2 linked regions of the Saccharomyces cerevisiae S288C genome follow. The protein of the gene in region 1 binds, or shares a complex with, the protein of each later gene. Links are inferred from orthologs where the notes say so. Each region holds a gene or a part of one and is shown on either strand. Other genes may lie near its edges.

Region 1 (4,067 bases):
CATTATTTTTTGTTAAGTACTTTACGAATGAGAAGGTAGTTTATCAGCTTATATTTCAGGTCCGTTGACTTTTTCTGGCTACAGTTGTTTTCAACTGGTGCTGCTGCAGGATATAGGAAGTCGAAGATTTATTTTTTTGCACAGCTTAATGTTCCTGGCGAAAAAGCAGCGAAATCGAGAGGTATTTACTGCTCAGAGATATGAAGAGGTAGGTACATATTCATTGGCAGATATTCTACAATGCAATTATTATGACCAATCACACAGTATTGTGCTGACCTCCATTGAGCGATGACTAAAAAAACTTTTAGTAGCACGTTTATTATTGCTTTCCCTTGCTGCTATAAGGGAAAATTCAGTAAATAATACCGAAGATATAATGGTGTTTATCAGATCAGTGTGATGTGTTCAGCTAAATGGAAAGCTACAGATGCTATCTGATCGAGATATTGCAAGAAAAGGTCTCACAGTATTTTTTTCACGTGCTTTTTTTTCAAGGCAATGACCAATATGAAACGATCGATGAGCATAGTAAACAGTATTATCTGGATAATTCTGTATGCAATGGTAACGGATAACTTAAAATCTTTATGTTAAGTATATACAATTGCATCACTTTTTTTTTTTTGGCTTGTGGCTTATATTAACAAATTTATTGTGCATTTTTTGCAATCTGAAGGGCTGCTTTAATATTGAATACGGGAAGGGCCCTTTCACACCCCACTATAAGTGCAGTTTTAGGAAGAAAGTATTAATGTATCCTTCAAAAAAGAAAATACACGTGCTGTTAATATACCGACATCGTGTTTTGGGGAATGGGTACTAGAGCCGCCGATATCTATTCATATTTTTTATGTAGCAACATCTCATTTGAACAAGAATTTATTGACATAGAACTTTATACAAGTATGAAGAGAAATTAGAAATTAGCAGAGATGTGAAATGAACTTACTAATAAATCGGCGTGGTCATTGGTTCAGTTTTTCTTCGATATAGGATACATTAGGGACAGTGGATGTATTTCCTAGGGCAACCATTGAAACTGGTTTGTTTTGTAATCTGTAATTTGCCCACATAATAATATCATCCTTAGTGATTTTATCAACCTGCTCGAAAACTTCTTCTGGTGATAATCTTTTACCTGTGGTCACCACTTGTCTGCCTATATCTTCTACAATGGCTGTCGATCCATCCAACGATAGCAACAGAGCTGCCTTTAGCTGAGCTTTTGCCCTATTCACCTCTGCATCCGATATTTTGCCAGATTTTATTCTCTTCCACTCTTTCAGGATCTCATTAACAATTAACTGCACGTTATGCTCATTAGAATCAGTTACTATGTACATTCCCCACAGACCTGAATCAGCGTAAGAGGTGGAAAATGACATATAAGAATTAGCCAAAGAACCATTTTGACTTGCTGCAACAGCTAATGGAGAGGGGGAGTTTGTACCTGTGCCAATGGCTCTGTCCCAGTTACCAACAATCGCTTGTGTTGCCAGAGCTACAAAATAATCAGGTGCAGACCATGACACGCCTTCTAATGCGATAGCAATATGTGTTGTAGGTAACGTGTTTTCTTTGATAAACCTTTCACCTCTACAAAAAACTGGTAATGGGCCCCTTGGTGATCCCAACGGGACAGGCGATTCAGATTTGGGCACATGGCCAAAGTATTTTTGAGCATACTGTACCAATTTTTCATGATCAACAGCGCCCGCACCTGCCAATACCATTCTGTCGCCTTTATAGTTCTTGGTTATATAGTCTTTCAAATCAGTTCTTGTTATTGATTTTATGTTTTTTATAGGACCCAGAATGGTTCTTCCTAAAGGTTGGTCCTTATACGTAATCTCATGAAGATGGTCAAAAACAACTTCATCATACATCTTGTCCACCTCTTCACTTTCTCTGATGATGACATCCCTTTCTCTCTCAATAGCACTATTATCTAAAACTGACTTAGTCAAAATATCACTTAGAATATCAACAGCCTTTGGGATATCTTCTTGTAGGGACTTAGCATAATAAACTGTGTTTTCTCTTGATGTATATGCATTCAAATGAGATCCGATATTTTCAATTTCCAATTCAATTCCTTGTTGTGACCTATTCTGAGTACCCTTGAAAGCCAAGTGTTCTAGAAAATGCGCTGTACCATTGTTTTTTACGTTTTCTGCCCTAGAACCAGCATCGACAAATATTCCAACAGTAGCCGAAGATGTGTTGGGGATGTACTCTGTGGCAATTGTCAACCCATTAGGAAGTTTAGAGGTTCTGGTTCCTGGAATTTGTGAGGAAATTGTACTTAAAAGCCTCCGTGTATTACGGAACTTGGATGCTGTTCTTGAAAACATTGTATGATCACCTATCACTTTGCGCACTAGTTTGATGCCTGAGAGCAAGATATCATGATTTATCCATAGCGTTCAAATTCACTTCTTATTACTAAAGAGATGAGTCCAGCTCGATTACGAATATCACTAAATACGTGAAAATAATATTGGTCATCTAATCTGTGCACTGAACAGTAGTATCACCCATTGTTGGCTGAGAAATTAAGCTCAGCATTTTAGCTTTCCTCACTACGTGTTGAGGAATTTAATACGTAAATATAGTCTTAGTAAAGCCGTGCATTTTACTTCTTAACTCCTTTGGACGGGATCAAGTTTAAGGAGAATAAAACCCTGATTCGCACCTTCAACGCGGCTCTAACATGGTACTATCAGACTCTCACATCCAGATTGGAGTACCCTTATCCGAAGTAACGATTTTTTATTACGGTTTAAGATAATAAGGGACGCGTATGATAACTAAAAATCGTCAGTTGAAGGGCGCTGGCCATAGGTATCCCTTAATTTTGACGTCGAATTTCATAGAAGCAAACCTATATATTTTCAGTCCCCAGTGGACAGACCGTTTATCAGTTCTAATGAATCAGCAACGATTCTCAAAAAGGTTGCCCCAATTCTTAGGAAAGTAGGAATGTCATCGACTAAGTTTTTGAAACCACTCTGCAGAATAAGGGCTTTTCATACTTCAATTGCCAGATCCTTTACCATTCCTTTTCTGCCAAAGATTCCACAGAAACCTGGAGGTGTGAGTGGGACCGCAAATGATTCCTCTTATATGCCGCCCGAAAGCAGAGCTCAGGGTTCGTACCATTGGATTGTCGAGCGCGGACTGTCCTTAGCGGTTCTTCCGCTGATCGCAGTTCCCTTGGTCACTACAGGCCCTATTTCCACTTTTACCGACACATTTCTTTCCTTGGTCCTGCTAGGTCATTGTCATATCGGATTTCAGTCTTGCATTATAGACTATATTTCTGAAAGAGTCTATGGAAAGGTACATCATTACGCGATGTATTTATTGAGCTTGGGCTCCTTTTTATCGTTCGTCGGTATATATAAATTAGAGAGTCAAGAAGCTGGTCTTATTGCCTCTTTAAAATCATTATGGGATAACAAACCTGTGGAAAAAAAGAGGCAGTAATCATCAATTAATCAATATGGTTTGGTTAGTGGTGACTACCTTTTTTATTCTCGTTATATATGTGTATTAGAAATAATTTAATAACCGATTATTTATTGCTTATTTTACTGGTCCCAGTTTTCCAACAGGACTTCTTTTATGGGCAAAGTGAACTCACCCTCTTCATTGACGTATTTTCTTGACCAAAGTTGGCCAGTATTATTGTGTTCCATAGGTATCAAGTGCGTTTTAGTTTGCAGGCCAATTTTCGTTATTATGCACGCTGAATGCAACGCTATTTGGTCATTGAACAACTCTGGAAAATTGACAGTGCTGCCATGTCTCTTGTCGTTTAATATGGGCTGATTTAAAATTTGAGAGACGTGATTTCGAATCTGATGTTTTTTTCCTGTAACCAATTGTAAAACAATACAATTTTCGTCAACTTCTTTGAACTTAGTAATCTCCCTACCACCATGTGAAATCAAGAAATTATATTTAGGACCATATTTAATTTCATAGTTATTTGGTTTGTTGAAACGACCGGACGACTCGACAATAGCTACATACTTTCTTTGCAACTTATAACCGTTGTT
Region 2 (3,707 bases), on another chromosome or scaffold:
CTATGTATCTTACGTAAGTCTGCGTTTTATGTATAGACCTTTTAGTGCTTTTAAGTATCTATATCTGGAAATCGTGGTTCCGTCATGCCCATACTAGCTGGGAGATCTCCGCCTACGGTGCTTTTGCGGTGATGTTCGGCGGAGTGCATCGCGCATAAGCAAACAACCGTTTATTTCAGCCTTGCGTGCTTGAAAATACAGGACCGTTAAATATGTAGATATGTACGCAGAGGCGTGTAAGCCACACAGCATTGTTGTTGCGTAAAAATGAGGGTGAATCGCCTCCTCAAATTACATGCCTTTCTTTTTTTGCCAGGATCGTGAGATGAGACATAAAATAACGTACCACTGAAACTTGACAGAATTGAGGGGTCTAACTATAAACCTGCGGCAAAAGAAGGATTGTATGCTGAAGTAGAAAAAAGGATAATTAAATATATATTTACTAGTATAGTAAGAATTTGGAAAGGGTAAGGAATAAATAATGAGGGATTTTTTTTTGGTCTTACATGTTGTTATTTGAATTTTGTTTGTTTTTATTTTCAATATTTGTGTGAATATTCATTAAAAAAAAGGTGCGCGGCAACATCTATATATATATTTGCCTTTAGTTTTTCGTTTTGTACAAATACTTTCCTCTTACAATTCGTCCAAATATGGCAAGTTGGAAACATCACCGACGGCTACATAGTTGAATTTTCCCAACTTAAAGTCCTTCACGGCGTCAAAATTTAGTTCAATTGGGCTGGAAACAGATTCATTTTGGACGGCATTCTTTAACTTTGTGTAATTTATTGCAGGGGATAAGTCCTTGCCCTTCTTCAAATCCGCAACAATTTTCTTGATGTTGGAAGATACCACGGCGCTGTCCTGGTCTCTTACAAACAGAGTAAATAGGCCGCCGTCAGTGAATTTATCAAGTTTAGCCGAGCTGATTAAACCGGAAAGCTCGGATAGGGCAGAGGTCAAATAGTTGGCCAATACTTCATATTGAGCTAGGGAGGCTTTGTTTACCGGGATACCAATGGCGGCAACGGAGTCACCGATAAACCTTACCCTGTTTTCTTCACCCAAAAAGAATTTTGGTTCGGATTTACTCACCAATGACTTACCTGCAGGCAAAGTGCTTAACAGTGACTCGTCAACAAATCTTTTCAAATCGGCCTCAACAACATTTTCACCGCTAACTTCAAGGTTCTCCTTGGTATAGACTTTGTCCGCAAAGTCCTTGATATCTTGCAAACTGACTCTTTCCACACCATCGTATAACAATGGGTTTCCTAAACCCTTTCTGAATGTAATGGCATACAATTGGTCTTCGGCGCTCTTTACCGGACATTGTTCAGCGACCGCATAATCGTATCTAGCAGCAGGCAAAACAGATTCGGTGAGCTCGTGAGGTTTGAAGGCAGTCTTGTATAGCACGTCTGCTAGGGCATTGACGTAGTAGGGAAGGTCGTCCTTCAAAAAGGTAGCTTTCAAAGTGATGTATTCCCTATCCAAGGTAGACTTAAAAGTTCCCCCTAATAATTCGGATTCTCTGACTAATTTCAAAGCTGATCTAGTGTTCGTGTTTTGAAAGTTGAATCTGTTTAAAAGATGGGCCACACCATCCTTGGTTGCATAACGAGACCCTCCATGGACCTTAACAGCCAATGTAGATATTTTAGTAGGTGCGTCTCTAGCGGAAACGGTCAACCTTCTAACTGACCCCTGGGCAAATTGCAATCTAGCTGCTGACAACATCAACGTTCTTCTTTTTTCCTTTTAATAATTTTAACTCTCCCGTCCTAATCGTTCGAGCACACTGCTGTTAAAAACCTTATTAACTTCTAAAACTTCGTCAGCAAACGCTCTGAGGAAAGGCCCTTGTTCTTTATATATATATTTGGTAGGCTAACGGATATAAGACGGGGCGGGCCTTCTATTGGTTCGTTGGGAATGATCAGAAATTTTTCAAAAGCTCATCGCATTGAAGGAAAAAAATAATTTTGGATCAAAATAATAATAGTGGAAGAAATATTGAGAACAATAGAGAATTGCTGACACAGGAATAGGGAAAAATTTTTGTTGAGCAAGATCCAAATGGACGAGTTACTGGGAGAAGCGCTTAGTGCAGAGAACCAAACAGGTGAGAGCACTGTCGAATCTGAGAAGTTGGTCACCCCCGAAGATGTTATGACCATATCATCCTTGGAACAGAGAACCTTGAATCCCGATTTGTTTCTTTACAAAGAGTTGGTGAAGGCACATCTGGGTGAAAGAGCAGCTTCTGTAATTGGGATGTTGGTTGCGCTGGGCAGATTGAGTGTGCGCGAGTTAGTGGAGAAAATAGATGGTATGGATGTAGACAGCGTCAAGACGACACTAGTCTCATTAACTCAATTAAGGTGTGTTAAGTACCTGCAAGAAACAGCAATATCCGGGAAAAAAACGACTTATTATTACTATAACGAGGAAGGGATACACATTTTACTCTACTCAGGGTTGATTATTGACGAAATTATTACGCAAATGCGTGTAAACGACGAAGAGGAGCATAAACAGCTGGTGGCTGAAATTGTACAAAACGTTATATCATTAGGGTCCTTAACAGTGGAAGATTATCTAAGTAGTGTCACGTCAGATTCCATGAAGTACACCATTTCATCACTATTCGTGCAACTGTGTGAAATGGGATATCTTATTCAAATATCAAAATTGCATTATACCCCAATCGAAGATCTCTGGCAATTTTTATATGAAAAACATTACAAAAATATTCCCAGAAACTCCCCGTTGTCCGATTTGAAGAAAAGATCCCAAGCCAAGATGAATGCGAAAACTGATTTTGCCAAAATCATAAATAAACCAAATGAGCTTTCACAAATCTTAACGGTTGATCCAAAGACCTCATTGAGGATTGTTAAACCTACAGTCTCTCTGACGATTAATTTGGATAGATTTATGAAAGGTAGAAGATCTAAACAATTGATTAACTTGGCCAAGACAAGAGTCGGCTCCGTCACAGCTCAAGTTTACAAAATTGCATTAAGACTCACAGAGCAAAAGTCTCCTAAAATTAGAGATCCACTAACTCAAACTGGGCTTTTACAAGATTTGGAGGAAGCAAAATCGTTTCAAGACGAAGCCGAACTTGTTGAGGAGAAGACACCAGGGCTTACCTTTAATGCTATTGACTTGGCAAGACATCTCCCCGCAGAATTGGACTTGCGTGGAAGCTTATTATCTAGAAAGCCCTCTGACAATAAAAAGCGTTCTGGCTCAAACGCTGCTGCATCATTACCCAGTAAAAAATTAAAAACCGAAGATGGATTTGTGATCCCGGCGCTACCTGCTGCTGTTTCCAAATCTCTTCAAGAAAGTGGAGATACACAAGAAGAAGACGAAGAGGAGGAGGATTTGGATGCAGACACTGAGGATCCTCACTCAGCTTCTTTGATAAATAGTCATTTAAAAATCCTAGCATCATCAAATTTCCCCTTTTTGAACGAAACCAAACCAGGTGTTTACTATGTTCCATATAGCAAACTAATGCCAGTATTAAAGTCATCTGTTTATGAGTATGTTATCGCGTCTACGTTGGGACCCTCAGCAATGCGTTTAAGCCGTTGTATTCGTGATAACAAGCTGGTGTCTGAGAAAATTATCAACTCAACTGCGTTAATGAAGGAAAAGGATATAAGATCTACATTAGCATCTTTAAT

Evidence for each region. The genes of interacting proteins can lie anywhere in the genome.
Region 2: the proteins of MAS1 (region 1) and QCR2 are in contact, whole or in part, in a cryo-EM structure (PDB 8AB7), measured with the Yarrowia lipolytica proteins. The link is inferred for Saccharomyces cerevisiae S288C from one-to-one orthologs. Residues at the interface, in XP_500073.3 of Yarrowia lipolytica: Val26, Ser27, Pro28, Leu48, Val49, Gln50, Thr51, His74, Glu77, His78, Phe81, Lys82, Gln89, His90, Leu92, Glu93, Leu94, Ile96, Glu97, Asn98, Met99, Gly100, Gly101, His102, Leu103, Asn104, Ala105, Lys117, Ser118, Phe119; in XP_505169.2 of Yarrowia lipolytica: Gln35, Asp36, Gly37, Gln38, Ser39, Pro40, Ile41, Ala77, Leu78, Val81, Arg82, Glu85, Leu86, Phe87, Gly88, Lys90, Leu91, Gln105, Leu107, Glu134, Arg135, Val139, Leu142, Ser275, Met276, Pro277, Trp278, Ser279, Val280, Gly281.

What each region holds. Positions count from the first base shown.
Region 1 is NC_001144.5:490,898-494,964, forward strand, and holds MAS1 (mitochondrial processing peptidase), read right to left. Parts: upstream 2,358-4,067; coding exon 969-2,357; downstream 1-968. Other genes in the region: protein SHH4, read left to right, coding at 2,986-3,492; pseudouridine synthase PUS5, read right to left, coding at 3,597-4,067. UniProt on the Saccharomyces cerevisiae protein: Catalytic subunit of the essential mitochondrial processing protease (MPP), which cleaves the mitochondrial sequence off newly imported precursors proteins. Preferentially, cleaves after an arginine at position P2.
Region 2 is NC_001148.4:917,420-921,126, reverse strand, and holds QCR2 (ubiquinol--cytochrome-c reductase subunit 2), read right to left. Parts: upstream 1,747-3,707; coding exon 640-1,746; downstream 1-639. Other genes in the region: RPC82 (DNA-directed RNA polymerase III subunit C82), read left to right, coding at 2,086-3,707. UniProt on the Saccharomyces cerevisiae protein: Component of the ubiquinol-cytochrome c oxidoreductase, a multisubunit transmembrane complex that is part of the mitochondrial electron transport chain which drives oxidative phosphorylation.